5 linked regions of the Oryzias latipes genome follow. The protein of the gene in region 1 binds, or shares a complex with, the protein of each later gene. Links are inferred from orthologs where the notes say so. Each region holds a gene or a part of one and is shown in the gene's direction. Other genes may lie near its edges.

The links.
Region 2: the proteins of ccnd1 (region 1) and ambra1 are in contact, whole or in part, in a cryo-EM structure (PDB 9IVD), measured with the Homo sapiens proteins. The link is inferred for Oryzias latipes from reciprocal best matches to the Homo sapiens genes CCND1 and AMBRA1. Residues at the interface, in NP_444284.1 of Homo sapiens: Thr286, Pro287, Thr288, Asp289, Val290, Arg291, Val293, Asp294, Ile295; in NP_001354397.1 of Homo sapiens: Arg54, Ser55, Phe57, Val73, His75, Arg96, Thr97, Trp99, Leu116, Ala139, Arg184, Ile945, Asn1012, Asn1029.
Region 3: the proteins of ccnd1 (region 1) and cdkn1b are in contact, whole or in part, in a crystal structure (PDB 6P8F), measured with the Homo sapiens proteins. The link is inferred for Oryzias latipes from reciprocal best matches to the Homo sapiens genes CCND1 and CDKN1B. Residues at the interface, in NP_444284.1 of Homo sapiens: Met56, Ile59, Val60, Trp63, Glu66, Val67, Glu70, Glu92, Lys95, Lys96, Ser97, Arg98, Leu99, Gln100, Leu101, Ile126, Tyr127, Thr128, Asp129, Ser131, Arg133, Glu136, Gln139, Met140, Leu142, Leu143, Asn146, Lys147; in NP_004055.1 of Homo sapiens: Lys25, Pro26, Ser27, Ala28, Cys29, Arg30, Asn31, Leu32, Phe33, Pro35, Val36, His38, Glu39, Glu40, Leu41, Thr42, Asp44, Leu45, His48, Cys49, Met52.
Region 4: the proteins of ccnd1 (region 1) and cdk4 are in contact, whole or in part, in a crystal structure (PDB 2W96), measured with the Homo sapiens proteins. The link is inferred for Oryzias latipes from reciprocal best matches to the Homo sapiens genes CCND1 and CDK4. Residues at the interface, in NP_444284.1 of Homo sapiens: Leu6, Cys7, Cys8, Glu9, Val10, Thr12, Ile13, Ala30, Lys33, Ala34, Thr37, Phe108, Lys112, Met113, Glu115, Pro118, Leu119, Thr120, Ala121, Leu138, Gln139, Glu141, Leu142, Val145, Asn146, Lys149, Trp150, Asn151, Leu152, Ala153; in NP_000066.1 of Homo sapiens: Gly45, Gly48, Leu49, Ile51, Thr53, Val54, Arg55, Val57, Ala58, Leu59, Arg61, Arg62, Ala65, Phe66, Asp76, Val77, Cys78, Ala79, Arg82, Ile87, Val89, Asp129, His132, Ala133, Asn134, Cys135, Ser285, Phe287, Arg288.
Region 5: the proteins of ccnd1 (region 1) and cyclin-dependent kinase inhibitor 1-like are in contact, whole or in part, in a crystal structure (PDB 6P8H), measured with the Homo sapiens proteins. The link is inferred for Oryzias latipes from reciprocal best matches to the Homo sapiens genes CCND1 and CDKN1A. Residues at the interface, in NP_444284.1 of Homo sapiens: Met56, Ile59, Thr62, Trp63, Glu66, Val67, Glu70, Glu92, Lys95, Lys96, Ser97, Arg98, Leu99, Gln100, Leu101, Ile126, Tyr127, Thr128, Asp129, Ser131, Arg133, Glu136, Gln139, Met140, Leu142, Leu143, Asn146, Lys147; in NP_000380.1 of Homo sapiens: Ser15, Lys16, Ala17, Cys18, Arg19, Arg20, Leu21, Phe22, Gly23, Pro24, Val25, Ser27, Gln29, Leu30, Asp33, Cys34, Asp35, Leu37, Met38, Cys41.

The regions. Positions count from the first base shown.
Region 1 is NC_019861.2:4,926,018-4,929,773, reverse strand, and holds the end of ccnd1 (G1/S-specific cyclin-D1), read left to right. Parts: intron 1-313; coding exon 314-462; intron 463-570; coding exon 571-726; 3' UTR 727-3,246; downstream 3,247-3,756. UniProt on the Homo sapiens protein: Regulatory component of the cyclin D1-CDK4 (DC) complex that phosphorylates and inhibits members of the retinoblastoma (RB) protein family including RB1 and regulates the cell-cycle during G(1)/S transition.
Region 2 is NC_019864.2:26,790,955-26,794,467, forward strand, and holds part of ambra1 (activating molecule in BECN1-regulated autophagy protein 1), read left to right. Parts: intron 1-6; coding exon 7-195; intron 196-276; coding exon 277-431; intron 432-525; coding exon 526-665; intron 666-2,962; coding exon 2,963-3,067; intron 3,068-3,513. UniProt on the Homo sapiens protein: Substrate-recognition component of a DCX (DDB1-CUL4-X-box) E3 ubiquitin-protein ligase complex involved in cell cycle control and autophagy.
Region 3 is NC_019864.2:11,436,259-11,440,424, forward strand, and holds the start of cdkn1b (cyclin-dependent kinase inhibitor 1B), read left to right. Parts: upstream 1-1,358; 5' UTR 1,359-1,679; coding exon 1,680-2,106; intron 2,107-2,308; coding exon 2,309-2,424; 3' UTR 2,425-2,437; intron 2,438-3,227; 3' UTR 3,228-4,166. Other genes in the region: yars2 (tyrosine--tRNA ligase, mitochondrial), read left to right, coding at 42-201. UniProt on the Homo sapiens protein: Important regulator of cell cycle progression. Inhibits the kinase activity of CDK2 bound to cyclin A, but has little inhibitory activity on CDK2 bound to SPDYA. Involved in G1 arrest. Potent inhibitor of cyclin E- and cyclin A-CDK2 complexes.
Region 4 is NC_019863.2:27,222,144-27,226,277, forward strand, and holds the start of cdk4 (cyclin-dependent kinase 4), read left to right. Parts: upstream 1-1,329; 5' UTR 1,330-1,554; intron 1,555-3,261; 5' UTR 3,262-3,268; coding exon 3,269-3,486; intron 3,487-3,562; coding exon 3,563-3,698; intron 3,699-3,793; coding exon 3,794-3,961; intron 3,962-4,134.
Region 5 is NC_019863.2:2,308,765-2,311,611, reverse strand, and holds cyclin-dependent kinase inhibitor 1-like, read left to right. Parts: upstream 1-1,353; 5' UTR 1,354-1,357; coding exon of another isoform or gene 1,358-1,366; coding exon 1,367-1,781; intron 1,782-2,233; coding exon 2,234-2,289; 3' UTR 2,290-2,334; downstream 2,335-2,847. UniProt on the Homo sapiens protein: Plays an important role in controlling cell cycle progression and DNA damage-induced G2 arrest. Involved in p53/TP53 mediated inhibition of cellular proliferation in response to DNA damage.

The DNA.
Region 1 (3,756 bases):
CCCAAGTCCTGATAAATGGTAGAACGGATGGACGGCTTCCTTTCAGAGTCCTGACAATGTGGCTGCAAACCAAATTGATTTGAGTCAGCTTAGAAAATACATTGATCAAACTGGAGGAACTCCTCCTCCCTGTAGTGGTCAGCAGTTTTTGCGTCACGGTTAACTTGCTGTTCCGGTCAGGTCTTTGGTATTCGAACCCACAGCATAGGATGGTGATGCTGAAAGAACAGAAACAAACGTGCAAACATACGATGTGACGGAAAACGGCTTGCAGATACCCGAACCAAATGTGAACGTTCTTCTGCCTCTACAGATGTGAACTTTATAGCCAGTCCTCCATCAATGGTGGCAGCCGGCAGTGTGGTGGCAGCTGTTCAAGGACTCTACTTGAAAAGCCAAGATGCCTCCTTGTCCTCTCAGAACCTGACTAACTTCCTGTCTCAGGTCATCCGCAGTGACCCGGTATGGAAAACCCCTCGCACTGTCTAACCTCTAACCCTGAAGAGGGCTCGTGTCTTTGCTGTTGCGCAGTGGCAGCACGTTTTTTTCTGACCAGTTGTTTGTTTGCAGGACTGTTTGCGGTCGTGTCAGGAGCAGATTGAGTCTCTGCTGGAGTCCAGCCTGCGGCAGGCGCAGCAGCATGGCAGCGTGACGGAAGCCAAGCGTGTGGATGAAGAGGTGGACCTGTCCTGCACGCCAACAGACGTGCGGGACATCAACATTTGAGATGGTCACCAGCATGTCCTAATCCCAGTGTTGGGAGAACTCTGTTGTTAGAAGATGGGCAAGCAAAGAAGGGGGGGCCTGATTACTGCCTCCCCTCCTCTCTTCCTCGGTTGCCTGGTGCGCAGCTGCTTCAACGGATGTCACTCACTTGTCCACCACGACTGCCAAGGCAAGGTGGCGCACCCTTCTTGCCATGCAGCGCACCTCCCACCACATTCCTTGCCAGTGTCCCCTCCAATCCTGGACATAGACCAGAACACTAGACATGGACAAGTGAGAAACGCGCACCGGTGACCCGTGTGGGCAGGAGTCAGAGCCACACAAACTGATTCTTTTGGTTCTTATCCTCCATTTCAAACTAGGAATCTTTTAAATTGCTGTGGACTGATGATGACTACTTAAGGATCCCAAAGTGTGGTGTTCAGTAGGCCTTCACAGTCTGTCCACCTGAAACCCAACATTTATCAAAGCAAAGATGCTGTTTTGAACCAGTTTCTTTTGTTTAGAATGAGTTAGGCTTTTTCTAAGTCCCCGTGTTTGTCTTGTAGTTCAGGCATCCATTTACCCCATGCTTGTTTATGTTTAGTCACTTTATTATATTATTTAGCCTTATACCTCTTTTGTTCTAAGCTTTTGGGTAGTTTTTAAAACCCGTCTGTGAGTGAAGTTGTGTTTTTGTCTGCTGCTGGTGTGGACAAACGCTAGTCTTTCTTGATGATTCATTTGACCCGTTTCCGCTTGCAGCAATTGATCAAATCAAGTCAGTGCTAATGCGAGCAGAGCTGTCCAGACTCTGATGGTTTCTTCTTTTGTGTAGTTAGATCTAATACCATTCCAATGTATTGTTTTCAAGAAAGAAGCACTTTTGGTCAGCCGTGCTGGCTCAACTGAAAGAAAAATCGTGGTGGTAGAGTTTGCAATGGAACCCGAGGTTGGTGATGCAGTGGTCGAGCAGCTGGTTCAGATTCATCAGATGGGACAAAGAATTGACCAGTGTTGCAGATAGACTTGTTTTTATGTCTGGGAAAGGCCCGTCATAGCAGCCTTCCTGTCCTGCTAGTTTCACTTGTGCAGTGTTAGTTCAGGCAGAGCCGCCCTGAGCTTTTCACAGGTTCACTACAACTGCAAGCATGTAGAGCCAAAGGCTAAATCTGAGGAGGTAAAAGGATTATTTTTATAGCTAAAGTAATGCTTTATATTCCATATCGTAAAACCTATTTATTTTTACAACTTTCAATTGTGGCTCCGCCCACTTGTGCAGATGTTTGCCAATGAAATGCTGTAAAACCGTAAGCTTGAGTTGACCTGAACCACCAGGACGGCATCCCTCCATACTCCTCCTCACTTCAAATACTGCTCATGGATTATGAAAAATGGATCAAGTTGAAGAAAGGGGAGCGATGAGAATATGAGATGATTTTTGCACAAACCTTAAGGACGTGGGCGGGGCTTCTCTTGGACTTGCCTCAAAAACTGGTGGAGAGTATAGTGGGCAACAGTTTGAAGTGTCAAAAATGAAACAAAGAGGAGAAAGGCTCATCAGAAACTGCTTTAGAGTGGTTGGGGCTTCGTCCCATAAAGAGGAGGCATTTCTGCTCAGATGGACATTCACTTTATAAGGAATGAGGCGGAGTCTGAGTGTAGGATCCTTTTAAAGTAGGTTTCTGATTCTACAGTAAGGATAGAACGTAGGAGAGAAACACTCCTTGTATTTTGCTGCTATAGAAGATACATTTGAGCTTTGTGTTTAAAGACAAAAATAAAAATACAAAAAACAGATATGAAATGAAAACAATGCTTTTTTTTCTGTTGTTTGCTGCTATTTTTTATATGTATAAATGTACTGCCATTCTAGGTCTGAATTTTCTAATAGGAAGTTGTTGATGTCACCATTTGTTCTGTGTAGACTATGTGATCTTTTGGTTGTAATTATCTAATGTGATTTTTTTTTTTTTCCAAACTATTCCAAATACAAGGACGAATTGACAATGTACAGTAATGCTTTGATTCACAATACCTCATGTGACAGTCATGATCTCTGATTTTTAGTTGTGTGTGTGTGTGTGTGTGTGTGTGCGTGTTTCATTGTGCTCGCTGGTTCAGTGCTTGCCAGCTTTGACCTTTTGTAGGTGAAGCATCTGCGATGGAAACCAGCGTGTCCAGGCCGTGCGTTGTAACTGGTGCCATAACAGAAAATGGGATGTGTATAACTCTGTTGAGTGTTAAGCTGTCTCGATAAAAGAGACTTTATCCCCCCATTAGGCCCATAATGGCCTCTCTTCCTTCCCCCTTTTTATATTTATAAAGAGAAAAAAAAAAACCTGCTCCAATTTTTCAAACTTCCAGTGAGTCGATTTGAGTTTGTAAATACATTCAGTCTCATCCTCGGTAAGCCATAGATCATCCTTGTGCTGTGTTCACGGATCATTCCAAACCGATTGTTTTCATGTCAGCTGTCTGCACCCAGGATAATGTATTCATTTTTGTGTTGACGACACAATAAAAACATGAACTAGGAAAGCTGGCCACCATTTGTTGCCTGAAACCTTCACACACCCAAACCACTCATCTCCAAGCTCACATCTTTGACTGACACTTTCTGGATTAAATAGAATCAGTGCTTCACTTGAGTTTAAACAGTGCAAATGTAACCCTTGTGCTATCCTAGGCACTTTAAGATTGGGAGTTGGGTCATCTAGACCCACTAGACAGTGCTCTGAACCTTTTTTCTTCAATGATTTGTGATCTTCACTGGTGTCCATGGATTACATGAAATCTTTCCACCTTTATCCACCTTTGTCATGGTAGGGAGAACACGTCAATGGAAGGGGGGGGTCATCTAAGATAGCACAAGGGTTAAGCATGTTTTAGAATGAAAGGTTGTGATAAAACGGACCTCCATTAGACCGAATAGACCTAAGTTTGGAGGTTGATCATAGATGAAATGAACTATTTTCAGCCAACGTTTCTGCGCGTCAAGAGACGTAGACTGGTCAAAGAGAACAGAGGTTTCTGAGTTTTGGTTGGGAG
Region 2 (3,513 bases), on another chromosome or scaffold:
TCGCAGCCTCGGTCAACGTTCTGGTGCCAAACTGTAAAATCTACAACGACGCCAGCTGTGACATCTCTGCAGATGGTCAGCTACTAGCGGTCTTCATTCCCAGCAGCCAGCGTGGTTTTCCAGATGAGGGCATCCTGGCCATATACTCTCTGGCTCCACACAACCTAGGAGAGATGCTTTACACCAAGAGATTTGGTGCGAATTCCCGCCACATTCCCTTGTTCAAGCCTTTGACTCGCTGAGCCACGGCATATCTTGACATCTTTTCCTCTGCAGGTCCCAATGCCATCTCTGTCAGTCTGTCTCCCATGGGCTGCTACGTGATGGTGGGACTGGCCTCTCGTAGGATCCTGCTGCACCCCACCACAGACCACATGGTGGCGCAAGTCTTCCGCCTGCAACAGCCGCATGGAGGAGAGACATCCATCAGGGTGAGAAAAAAAATCTTTCATTTCACTCTTTGTTGCTGTGTTTTGTTCTTATGCTCCAGTGGTGATCATGTGTATTTGCCCCCCTGTGTTTCAGATGGTATTTAACGTGGTTTACCCCATGGCGCCAGACCAGAGGCGCCACGTCAGCATCAACTCTGCTCGCTGGCTGCCAGATCCAGGGATGGGTCTGGCATACGGGACCAATAAGGGAGACCTGGTGATCTGCCGGCCCGTGTGAGTTCCTGTTCCTCTGTAGCTGAAGTTGACTTCAAAGTAGTAAGAATTGACAAATGTGAGGAACACAGTAGAAAGCCTGTGTTCACTGAGCATTGTTTCTGTGTTGCTGCTTCACTGTTTTTGTGTCAAACTGTTTTTTGCCCTTATACTTTTCTTTTCAAAGTTTTTCTCGCTTCACTTTTTGTCCTTGTGTTTCGAATAGGATTGAATCAAGTTAACAGTAGCGGTTTTAGGCAAGGGCAATACGGGCAATTGCCCGGGGGCAAATTTCAATGGGGGGCAACATCCTTGTGCTTGGAAGAAAAGAAAAATTGTGCCACTATCGGTTTTCTATTATCTATTATTTTACAGACTTTGGAACGGCTTAAAACCAGCGAATTGGCGCCCCCGCAGCTGCGCGGTCCTGTCTTAGAGAAGGAAAAGGGGAGGGGTAGTGGGCGCAATAACGCAAATCCTAGATCATGGCGTGCCGTTGGATCACTCAGCTCATGTTAATGTCATTATTTACTGACTATTGTAGATTTATTACGTGTCTTTTCTGTGGTTTATTTGAGATAATTAATAAACAATCGATCATTTGTTTATTAATGTTTTAAGGTTTTTTGGAGGATTTTTACTGTTGAGCGCTGATGGGGTTACTCGCCCGGCAAGTAAGTTAGTGTAGAACCGCCACTGCAAGTTAAAAATATATATTTTTTAACTTCAACGAAAAAGACTTGAACCTTTTAAGATCTGAGCTAATATTCAAGCTAATTCTCTACACACATAGTCATATGGCCAAGCAGAATTAACTACTGTGGTGAACCCAACATGTGATGTCCACGCATGTGGATGCCAGGTTAGACCTCTTAACGTGATTTGACGGTCTTCATTTATGTTCCTGATGGATATCAGAGGAACTGTTTTCCAGGATTCCAGAAGAGTCTGAGTTTCAGACTGAGATCCTCCCTCTGCGTTTGAGTTGAAGGTCTCCGTCAGGATGAAGCTGAAGTCCAAAGAAAGGAAATAGGAGGATACACTTTCAATCTAGCATGTATATGCGTTTTTGACGTTTTCCAAAAAGTGTTTCTAAACTTTGAACAGCATTTCTCTTAATGAGGTGCTTTGTTGAAACAATCTTAGTGAAACCATAAGACGGAATGATGCATAAACATGAGGAGCAGCTGAATACGGGAGAAATGCTGGATTGAGAACATTGTTGCAGCAGCACGTTTAACATACATATCTATTTGGTGTTTTTAACATGTTCTTGTGGCATTTTTCTGATGATGGACGTGTGAAGAAAATTTCCGTATTCAAATCCCGAATTAGAAGCAGGCGAAAGAATCCTGTTTAAAATATGTAAAATATGTAAATATGTAATTTTACTTTGATCTTTTAGGGTGATTTTTAACATCTTCCCAGGGACTGCAGATGAAAAATAGCCCTTTGGCTAACTCTGGCATATTGACAGAAATGTTTATTAATATGCGCTGTCCCCCCTATTCAAATAAATGATTCTCAATTGCTGCGATTCTCAAAAAAGATTATAGTTATGACATTGAGAATATGCTGGGCGGGCCAAAAGCTCCCTGCTCCCTCCATTCTGATGCATCAACTTGGACGTCTCTGTTTTATCTTCATCTGAGATGACATCTAGATCAGAACTGGACGACTGGATAGCTCCAATAAGGCTCGCCATATTTGTTTCACCGGTTATGTTAGATTTGGGGTGTGAGGGACGGTAGGCTAGCTGGGGAGAATGTAAAAAGAGAGCCCCGCCCACAATTCTGAGGGGAATTTCTAATGAACTCCTGTCACTCTGCAGTCCTGTCTCTGTCCTGTGTTTCTAGCAGCTCAGCAGGTCACAGTTGGAAACTCGACCCCTAACTCGTTTTACCGAGTTGTTTGGGAAATTACGCATGACATCAACGGTATAAATTATGGGTTTCAACTTCACAAGCTTAATCCAGCTCTGCTACAGCTTTCACTTTAGAAGCCATTTCCTCCCTAAAGAACCTCCCAGAACATTGAAAAACCTCGTTTGTGGTGCTGAATTTTTACAAAAGCAGTTAAGCGTTTCTGCATGGTGTTTGTTTTCCTTTCAACTACAGCCTTACCCCCCCCCCCCCCAAACTTCCTCTACACGAAGCACTGATGTCATTATCTTCATCTCAACAGGAAGAGTTTTAATTGAAAAAGCTCAATTAGTGCGTTTAATGAGGTTGTGGTCCAGGCGCCTCTCAGAAGACGCCCTTCCTGATCTTCCTCAGAGCAAAATTGGATTATAAACGTGTTTCTGTGTGCGTGTGCAGGTTCTACCGCAGTGAAGGAGAGAATCCCAGTGAGGCGAACAGTGAACCCTTGTTCTCCGTCAACAATAGTGGAACAAGCCGGACTCGAGGTTCTGACAGAACCGGGTAAGAATCTGCACCAAGCAGTGTATCTAGATCAGTGTTTTTCAACCTTTTATGAGCCACGGCACACTTTAACCATGACAAAAATCCCGCAGCACCAGAAAACAAAACAAAAAGGAAAAGCTCTTAGTCTGTATTGATCTACAGCCCATCCACAATCTCACATGCATTTTTGTGATAATTGTGACAGAAAAAGCTGGAAGCTGCAGCTGTTTTTTTAAAAGATGTAATAAAAGTTAAGTTAGAAGATTTAAAAACTGTGTGTTTGTTGTTGTTTTAAGACGTTAAGAGGAGAGACTCATTGTTCGCCAAGACGCTGTCACTTTAACCCAATGCATCATGGGAGATTTAGTGGAAAAATCCGCAGACAAGCGTCTCTGAGTTTCATTGTTTTGTTCACTTTTTCCACGGTCTGACACCGGATTCTGTGGAAAGCTACACTGCTAAAG
Region 3 (4,166 bases), on another chromosome or scaffold:
TGGGATTTGGATCCTGACTGAGCCGTCGTGTTCGCTTGCAGGTACCAGATGGTTTCAGACGGAGCCGTGTGGATCAACCACACACGGGCGGACAAACCGGAGCAGGTTCTCGTCCCCAAACTCCACGTCCTGTCCAACGGACTCACTCTGCTCAGAGTGGGCAAGAGGAACTACTACATCATCAAGTGGCTCGGTCTTTGAGGCTGCACCGCCCACCGCAGTGCCTGTACGCCGTAAAGGACTTACAGGCAAGGTAGGCGACTAAAGCAGACTGTAGCGGACTCATAATGGTGACTCTGTAAGTCCATGTGGCCTTTGTTAAAAATGTAATCGTACAGACAACTTTAGTATTTAAAGGTATTAAAAGATTTGTGCTTCCAGAGTTGTGTGTTAGATGAAGCTCTAGGGGGCGCTGTTGGCTTGACAGTGGTTGAGTGAACACTGCTGCACCTCCTATCCTGCTCTGACCCTTTGAGTAAATAATTGCTCACAGCTAAATTAGATTGCATCATTTCTGTCAAAAGGCTTTTGGTTCTATTTAAAGACGACTGCGCCACTTTCAATTTAAGCATCAAGCTGCCCTCTATTCTCATTTAGGGGTGTTTATTTTTTTTTGCATGTGAATAAAAAGTAAAAACTAAGAAGCTTTATGATAAATCTGGAAAAAAACAGTTGACTTTAGGATAGCAGAAATTTATTTTCATCTTTATATGTTATTACTTCATATATAAATATTTTCAGTCAATAATTCCGATATATGTACAGATTTTGTTACGGTAAGAAAATTTTTTAGAATTAAAATGTTTATTAGGCTTTTACTAAATCAGCTCAGTTTGGGGTCCTCTTACTGGACTTTATCTCCATTTAGGACCACAGGTTCATTTATTAGTGTCCATTGAAAGAATATGATGCAACAATTTCAGTTTTGTTTTGGATTTTACTCCATTTTAATTGTATTTATTAATTTTACTGTACATCCAAAATGTTTAAAATAAATACTGAATATGTGTGTTTTAGAACATATTGGCACTATTTGTATGGTTGCAATCCAATTTTTTTCTTCAAATTTAGATGTCTTAAAATGTTTAATCCATTTTACTTTTTGAAACTTGTACATTAAGTTACATCAAATGTGTGAACTTATTTACTTTGTAAAAAAAATAAAAAAGGTAAGTAATATGTTTAGAACAGCATGCCTTATGCAATTATTCGGTCTACCTTAAATAAAGTGGGCGGGTCTAAAGAGCTCCATCCAATGAGTGCGCTTCTTGGGTTTTAAATGGCTCCGTATGTCAATCATGTGTAACCCTCCTCCCCCTCCCTCCAAAGTCAACCTCCCCTCTCAATCCCCACTACATGTCTCAATCGCCATATTGGGTACCGAGAGGTTCGCCTCCGCTTCCCGCTGTACGGAGCGACGTTGACAGCGAGCTTTGGTTCGTTCTCCCGTCGTTTGGATGATTGGCGTAAGCCGTCTTCGGCTCAGGAAATCGCAGCCGTGTTTGCCTCCAGCTCGACGTGCGCATGGTCGTTTCACGCCTGTTTTGGATCTTTCCCCGTGACTAGGAGGACATACCTTTTTTTTCTTTTCTTTTTTCTTCTTGAGGTGTGTTTTTCGCCTGAAAACTGGACGCTCCCGGCTGCTTGAAATTTTTACCTTTTTTCCGGGGGGCTTAACCATGTCTAACGTTCGACTTTCGAGCGGGAGCCCGACTTTGGAGAGGACGGAGCCCCGGGTGTCGGAACACCCGAAGCCGTCAGCCTGCAGGAGCCTCTTCGGCTCGGTGGACCACGAAGAGTTAAAGAGGGATTTAAATGTACATTTGCGGGAGTTTGAAGAGGCTGCCTCCGCCAAGTGGGGCTTCGACTTCGCGACTGACACACCGCTGCCCAACAGCAGGCTGGAGTGGGAGCTGGTGAACGCCAGAGACCTGCCGAGTTTCTACACCCGCCTGCCGCGGCGAGAACGAGGCGTTTGCCCCGGGAATAACAATGTGGATCTAAACGGGAATCATGACTGTGTCGGGACAGTTCCCAGCCGCTCTGACGCTCAGATGGAGTGCACGGAGCAGTGCGGCGGGCTGAGGAAGAGACCTGCGTGTCACGGTATGACATTAGCATCAAACGACCCGTTGCTGTGTAACAGATCGCCGGGCGGCAGCTTTGTGCTCGCGGTACTGGTATGCGGGATGAGGGGGTCGTAAAGCGGGGGAAACTGCCGTAAAATCCCAGAGAACATTGAGCACCCCGACCATTTTTTTCTCTCTGTAATATATAGTTTATTTTACTCATTTATTTATTTTTGCAGACCCTTCGGCCCCAAGTAAGAAGTCTCACACCAGCCCGGAGGAGGTTAGCTGTCCGAGCCTGAGCCAGTCTGCAGAACACACACCCAGAAAGACCAGCCCCAAGAGACCAACGTGAGCACGGCGACACGGTGAGCGAACCACTTCAATTTAAAAAAAACTGTTAACCTCGAATTTAAAAAAAAAAAAAGATATTAAATTTTACATCATTTTTTTTTTTATTTGTATTGACGCATTCTAGCGCAAAAAAGTGAAGTCTGTTTATTAAACCAAGAGGATTTATATGACACGCCAATAAAGAATTTTTAAAAAAAAAAGTTTTTTCCTCCTTGCGGCCGATGTTCGTCTGCTGAACTGTAAACAACAAGCTGAACAACAGTGTAGTAGTAACACGTCAGCAGCCAGTGGCCTCCGCGCGGACGGGAAGGGGCAGGTCTCTGAGCGCGCGCGCGCAGAAACACACGCAGACATGTACACTCCCTGCTGCAGAGGAGAGTACGAGAGTTCTGCAGGTCTACTATGACCCACAAGAGAGAAGGAGCACAGAAACCTGCTCTAAGCTGTCAGGTGTGAACCTTTAAAGGTTGTGGCAAAAAAAGTCAAGGTTAAATTAGCGGAACTTTGACTTCGATTTATCTTTAAGTAAAAAAAAATCCCATGTTCATTTTCGTCTCTTCTTAGTAAAAATAAAAGTTAACAGAACTGAAAAAATTGCACGTTTTTGTAAATGGTATGCAGCCGAGCTTTATTTGAGTTGATAGTTTTGTTTTGTTTTTGGAAATGACTAGTTTCTTCTTTTTTTTCAGTCATACCTCAGAACACTGTCAATACTTTAGCAGTAGTAGTTGCATCTCCTAAAAGAAAAAAAAGTACTAACCTTTCAACCTCTTTGTTTTTGTCTTTTGTTCTGATCTCCAACAGAGCTCAAGATGTGCCCCTCCCAGTTTTTTTTTCTCTGTACGAGTGTGTTTGCGTATGCGTGCATGTGTTTTTTTTTGTTTTTTTGTTTTTAAGACTGCGTTGATCTTTTTTTTTTTTTTTTAATTATTCTTTCCTTTTTTTGGACGAGGATCTACACAGCATCAGAAACATATCAGCTCTCCTGAGGACGGGGGAGGACGCTGTTGAAGCACTGAAGAGAAACACTAAAGTTTGTGGCACTCATTGAAATGTTACTGCCTCTAACAGCAGTCCATGTAGCAGCGTGCAATTAGGTTTGATTTTTTTCTTTTTTTAACTACCTGTGTGTAAATAATTTAATAAATAAATATATATGTTTTCTATGTAGCACATAAAAACATTGATTTTTTTTTTTTTTTAATCCTTTGTGTAAAAGAGGTGTGAATTTTGATTTGACTTGAAGTGTTCGGTTTGAAACATGTTTCCAAAATGCTGTTCTGTTTGCATTTTATTATTATTATTAATATTTTTGAAAGGCACTGTGGTGTTGACCCAGTCCATAAATGCTACATTTAAAAAAAAAGAAAGAAAATCATGGTTTTAGTTTCTCAACAGTGTGCCTTTATGCCGTCATCTTCCTAACTCAACAGCAAGGAATGGTACAAATGTAGCTCATCTGCCTAATGAACGTGTTTTTCTTTTCTTCCCTTTTTTGTGTTGAGGCCACTTTTTCTTTTTTCTTTTTTTTAAAGATCCACAGGAAATGGCACAGGATGAAATTAAAAATTTCAGCAAGTACCTTTTATTTTCCTTTTTTTTTTTTTAATATTTATTTTAAAATTGGAGTTCTGATGCTTTTATTTTGTAAATGTTTCGATCCCCAGAGTTGTGAGGCACTCATTTTTTTTTTGAAGGACAAAGACCATGCACATGTTTCCAGGCTGTCAAACCTAAGTTAAA
Region 4 (4,134 bases), on another chromosome or scaffold:
TACCAGATCTTACAAAAGTGGCTTAAAGACAGACAACACTGGGTAATATAATAACTACTCCTTTCTGTATATTTTTATTTTTATGACATTATTTTTTTTAATGACATTTTTACTAATTTGAAAAATCAAAATTGAGGAAACTCTTATTTGTGAGTTTAAATATTTTACGATGTAAGTTAGTGAACTTTTAATAAGTTCTGGCTTGAGGTCTAATCTCTTATCTTTTAAACATGCAAAACTGGCATTTTATAGTATTGAATTTACCACATAATGTTGCATTAAATTTATTTTGAACAGAGTTAAATGTTTTATACCTTGAGGGTGTATTTTATTTGTTTGTTTGTTTTTAAAATAGGACAAAATTTTGACCAATTTTGTCTCATTTTGCAATGAATAAATTTAAAGTAAGCTTTTATGGTAACATTAATGAACAACTAAAAACTATGCTGGTATCAACTCTCAAGAAAATATTTAAACTGATGTGCATATATTTTTAAAAATCATGTTTTTACAACACATTTAGCTTTTTATTTAACCCGTTATTTACAAATAAATCATTAATGTTAACATACTAATCTTTACAATACATTCATGAAAAAGAAGGCAGCATACCGTAGGATCAAAATAATTAGAAAACCACATTGTGGACGTCATTAAAATGTTGACATTCACTTAATTTGAAAATCCAAATCACTGAATTAAATAATTTTTTAGAGATTGAGATTTTTAATTTCAACTATTTGTATAAAAGGTTTTTTTTTAACAATGTAAATATTTTCTTTCAACATATTTAATTACATTCATTTTCTAATTCTTTTTTAACATTGATCTATTCAGTTCTCTAAACAAAACCACAGTTTTAACTGTGGTGTAAACAACCACAATGATAGTTTGCAGTTGTGTAAGTCAATGGAGTGAAAAAAAATAAAACACTTCCAGTGAAGATACTCTAGTTTATTGACTTAATTTCTGGTTGAAGAATAGAAAAGTTAGGTATCTTATAAAAAACCCAATCAACCATGATTTGATTATTGAATTACCTAATTACATTGCCTTAAAATGAAATATATGTATTAAAAACCTCTATAATAAGATATAGGCTTTCCAAGTTTATAACATTTTTGTCCATTTCTTTTTTATTTAGTGTAAACAGTAAATCACTGTTTTCTCCCTCTTATGTGAAGCAAGTGGGGTCGTTTTCCCCCCTTTTTTAAATAAAACGGCTTAACAAAAAATAGGTCGCACGAATTTGTGGCTTTTGATAACAAAAAGCTTTTTTTGTTTTTTTCTTCAAATGGTTTGTGGTAAAAACTTAAGCTCCGCCCCCTGAGAAGCTAAAGCAACAGGAAGATAACCGAAAACGAGCGCAGGCTGGAAGGAAAGCGGCGGAGGCCGAAATCTTTTCCACATCAAAGTCGCTGTTCGGCCGTAAACTTCAGCCTGGACTCGACCTGCCACCTCTGACCCGTTCTGCTCCAGATAAACGTGGCAGATCAACGAGCATGCTCGAACTAAAGTGAGCTCTCTTGCCCTTAAAGAAAAAAAACGGCCGAGGTAAGCTTTTTTTATGTGTGACCTGTCGAATACACAAACCTGCGGAGGAGTATGGTTTTGCCGCGTTACGCTTTTATGTTGAACAGATGTGAAAAGTTAAAAGGCGGTGATGTGTCTCCTCCGCCGCTGACTATAGTCCCCCGCTTTTTCTTCCGCCACGTTCAGACCAATGATCAGACACGTGTGTGTGCGTGTGTGAGCTAGAAAAGTGCATGTGGACTGTTTCTGCTGCATTTTCTTGCTCTAAATTAACAAAGGACTGCCACAGAGGAGCACCACGTGTCTGCCCCGGCCTACTGATTTCACATGAACATCCGCCCACTGCTTTGGAGTCACCGGCCTGCTTCTCGCTTGATAAGGCGGGGAATGAATGAGACATGGAGGGCGAACGTCCGGCTTTGCCTATCTGATAATCGATACATTTTTCTGTGATCACGAGCTGCTGTCATGCGCAAACTGGTTCAAGAAGATCCCCTCAAACAACGGCTGTTGGGAGTTTCACCTAGTTTATACTCTGGACTCACTGTGTCTCTCCCAAAACACAGAAATGATTGTTTTAGTTAAAAATTTATAGATTTGTGAATTTTATTTCTTTTCTATTTATTGTATGTTGTTTGATTTATAAAAATAAGTTTTTACATAATTCCATGTACTCTAATCTGGAATAGTATATATATTCATTTCCAAAAAAATTACCAAAAAGCATTTTCCCATCATTTAGGATAAACCAAGTTAAAGAAAAATGCTCCACTGTGTTGGTGCTTTATGCAAAAGTCTCTCAAAAATGTGCTTTTAATGTGTATAAATTGATCTTTTTGCGGCTCTTTTGTCCTCTGGTTTCTATGCTGTAAACAAACAGCAGAGGCAGAAAAACTTGCTGCAGGAAAACGAAACACTAAACGCACAGGAGAAGCTCAGGAAAGTTTTGACACAAAGTGACACAAATGTCACATGTCACTCTGGGGAAGGGATCAATCCAGCCAGGCATCATTGTCAAACCATTCCTTATGTGCAGAGAGAGATTCCTGATTTAAAAACACTAAAGAGCCACTCCAATCATCATTTGATCTATTTTAAAAGCGTTCCCAGTGATCTTTTAATGTTGTGTAATTTTCTAGGACATAGTTTCTGCAGAGCAGATGGAGTTACGGTAATCAAAATTTTTCCTCTGAGTTGTGTTGAGCAAGCCTGCCCTGACTTCCCATCATCCCTTTGTCTGCATTCTGTCTTGCTAGCTTACAGTCCCTCACAACCGCAAGCAGCACAAATAAATGGTGATCATTATTGGAGTTACCCGGCCATATAGCTTTGAGCCAGATACTAGCTCAGACGAGGAAAACGAAGATGGATCTAGTCATCTGCGAGTGGATGTATCTGCATGGACAGAAACAGGGAGCTTGAGGCCCGCCGATTGTATTTTGTATACAAGTAAAAACTTTTTCTAACAGCAGTTTTTGGTCTGCTCCTGATTCACTATGATTTGAAAAAAGAAGAAGTAGTAAAGCAGTTTTAATTTCAATTTTCCTAATATATGTCCTCCAACATGAGAAGAAAATGCTACCAAAACATGTCAAACAACCAGAAACGCTGTTTTCTTTTGGAGTGGTTCTTTTAAAGACTTTTTCCCTCAGTAAATCCCTCAAAAGTGCTGCTCTGGAGTTTGAGGTGTCTGTATAAATGTGAGATGACCCCAGTCTCGTCTCCCAGTCTGAGCATGGCGCAGTGCACCGGTCTGCAGTACGAGCCGGTGGCAGAGATCGGTGGTGGCGCATACGGGACCGTCTACAAGGCTCGCGACATCGAGAGTGGCAAGTTCGTCGCCCTGAAGAACGTGCGCGTCCAGACTGACCAAAATGGCCTCCCGGTGTCCACGGTCAGAGAGGTGGCGCTGTTGAAGCGCCTAGAGCAGTTTGACCACCCCAATGTGGTCAGGTAGGAGAGTTATCACAGGTTTTGTCTCAAATGTTGCCCCCCCTCCACCTCATCAGTGCTTGCTACTTTCATCCAGGCTTATGGATGTGTGTGCCACCAAGAGATCCGACCAGGAAACCAAAGTCACTCTGGTGTTTGAGCATGTGGACCAAGACCTGAAAACGTATCTAGAGAGAGCTCCAGCTCCAGGGTTGTCACCAGAGCGCGTGAAAGTGAGTCCCTGAAGAAAAGAATAAAAACTGATGGCAGCTACTGTTTGGAACTGATTCTCTTTCTTTTTTTGTGTGAAATATTTCTCTGTCTTCAGGACTTGATGAAGCAGTTGCTGTCTGGCCTCTCCTTCCTCCACTCAAACCGCGTGATGCACAGAGACCTGAAACCCGAGAACATTCTGGTGACCAGCCAGGGCCAGGTCAAACTAGCAGACTTTGGCTTAGCGAGGATATACAGCTGCCACATGGCCCTCACTCCTGTGGTAAGATCTGCTGTGTGCTCACGTCTTGATCATCAGCAGCGGTTTGGTTAATGTTGTTTTTTTGAACAATCGCTTTGGAGATGATTATTTCATTTGTTTTTGCTGTCTGTTTTGGCTTCTTTTCTTGGAATAAATCATTTTCAGTTACGACACAACCCTGACCGTTTAACACC
Region 5 (2,847 bases), on another chromosome or scaffold:
ATCAACCTATTTCACATTTTCACAAATCAGAGGAAGGTTTCACAAATCAGAAACTGTGTTTAATGTATTCTTCAGTATCTAAATCATAATTTAATCCAGGTTTGAGCAGTCTAGGTCCAGCAGTTTTTGAACCGGACCCCATCTAAGGAGATCTTAGTGCAAAAAAAACAGTGGAATGCTCCTTTAGTGCACTCGCGAATCGGAAGCTGTGAATCGGATGCTAACTTCAGCGTCGTTGATCCAACATTCTGGTTATATGAATTAAAAAAGTTTCCTGGTAACTTATTAAATCAAAAAAAAGTTTTCCAGAAGTCCTATCTAGGGTGTTTTGATGCGCGCGCGCGTCCTCCGCGTGAGTACGGCGGTGACAGCCCCGTTTGAATGGGGGACACGTGCTCCAGGTTCACGTGGAGCCTCGTAGTAACCGAACGGGGCTGGTCCAAACCCGGATTCATACTCTCCCGCCATGGCCTGAACGCCCGCCCCGATGGGAGTCGGCCGCGCCCCCAGTGACCCCGCCCCGAAGAGACAACAGAAGCTTTATGTCGGTCTATGACGTCATGAAAAGTCTGGGTTACTCTGCTAGATCACCGTTCCAGCCTCAATGGAAGAATCAAAACATTCAAAAATAAGATATTTAATGTCAATATCCATCAGTCTGAGCTTTAAGAACAGCGGGATTATAATGTGGAGAAACCTAAATATTAATTTAAACATTATCACTAAAGAACTGGAAATAGTTTTAAACCAGATAAAGGAAAATATTCATATTTTTGGTATAAATTGTTTTCTAAAGTGTTTTTTAAAACAAAAAAAAAACAGGAACAACCATTTTTAATTTATGTATTATAATAAAATCATATCTAACAAGCTGCTGGGGGTTTGTTTGCTGTCTATCCTCATTTTCTGCTCTCTTTAAAAAAAAAACAACAAGCTTTACTGTGGACTATTTTGTCCTCCTGGATAACCAGCCTGGCCTGGGATGGACTTCCTTTTTTCCTAAAAAGGAAAATGTCCTGTTCAGGGTGATGCGGTCTGTCATGCAGACTGAGGTGGAAGGACACCTCTGGTGGTGGATCTGTCATTGCCACTCTGCCCCCTAGTGGCGGCTCTGTGTTGTCGGCCTGTCAGATTATGTCCAGGCATGTACCGATGATTCAGCCTCTCCTAAGAGGGAGGGAGGAGAGGAGAGGCACAGCTCTGCTTTTCTCTGATGGTCTGTAGAGTGAACAGTCATGGTGAGCTCGGAACTTTTTACACTTTGGGTTTTTCTTTGACTCTTTTACTGCTTTACATGATCCATCTCATCATCATATGACATCTGAGATCTAACCAGGAGTGTTCTGTGTTCAAACAGTGCAGAACCATGGCTGCTCCAAAGCGGATTCCCGCCGCTCCCAGGAGGCCCGCGAGGCGAAACCTGTTTGGCCCGGTGGACCGGGAGCAGCTTCAGCTGGAGTACCAGGCCGCCCTGCGGAAAGACCTGGACGAAGCGTCCCTTCGCTGGGGCTTCGACTTCCGCTCCGACAAGCCCCTGGAGGGCAGCCACTTCCTGTGGGAGAGCGTCCCGGGGGCCGGAGTGCCGCTGCTGTACCGCTGTCAGGATGCTGGACGGGTCCAGAAGACGGCGGAGACCAGGACCCCCCCCAAGAGACGAAGATCTGAGCTGCCGCAGAGGGAGAAGGAGAACATCCCACTGACAGAGAACATCTTCAACGTGGAGAAAACACCAGAGAAGGAGGAGAAGGCCGGGATGAAGAGGAAACAGACAAACATCACAGGTGCTTTCATTTGTTTTGAATCGTGTTCTTATGACGCTTTATTGACGATGGAGGACATTTATAAAGAAAAGCTTAGTATTTAATTGTTCAAAGCAGATAAAAAATGTTAGAAAAAGAGAGTATCTGCATTCATTTACAGACAAATAGGTCCAAAAAACTTTTTTAGTCCCTCGTCTGAGCTAGAAGAGTAATGTGAGGGGCTGTAAGCCAGCTAGAGAGGGTACAAATAGATGGATAATGGGAGGTAGGGGCGGGGTTACTCTGAGCTAATGCCCCGCCCACATCTCAGAGGTGACGACAAGATTATTTCATTTTGGCTAAAAAAGGCATAATCGTAATCAAAAGACGACAGGGAAGGCTTTTCTCAAAATATGATGGGAGTGGAACGTTCAGCTGCGTCTGTGTCGTTGCACCGATTCCCCCTGAGCTCAGTGTCGCTTTCATCCCTGCAGATTTCTACCAAGCTAAACGACGAATGGTCTGGATGCCGCGGAAATCGGGCGAGTGACGGAGGAGCGCACACGCCACGCCCCACTCAGAAGCCACGCCCTCCGCAGGAGTCCGTACCTGTGAACTCGGGAGGGGTTCAGCTACATTTCACTGCTCAGTTAATTAGGCTACTGTATGTGGGGGGGGATCGGTGCCTTTCCCTGGGCTAAGAAGGGGACATTTGAGCAGAGAAGATTAACGGTAATCCACGGAATCAGTGGATTTATCCTCATTTGGATCAAGCGGTTGCCAAAGTGATGACAGACATTTTCGCCGCTGTACATTCCACATCTCGGCTCCCACCCACAGGAGAGGAGGAAGATGTACAGCATGTGTTAAAATCACAATGTCCCCCCTTTTTTTATGCTGAAGTGAAGAGTTTTATATGAACTATTGGGAAAAAGAGATTCAACGTCTCCAAGTCTAGAGACGCTCTGCTTCCATCACGAACCACAAACCTGCATTTCCCTTCATGTCCTGTCTCTTATTCGTCAAATTCATCTGCTGCTCTGTCCTGACGTGTGAATGGCTCTGGATTATGAATGTTCAGTGTGTAGCAATTTATCTCTTTGGAGCA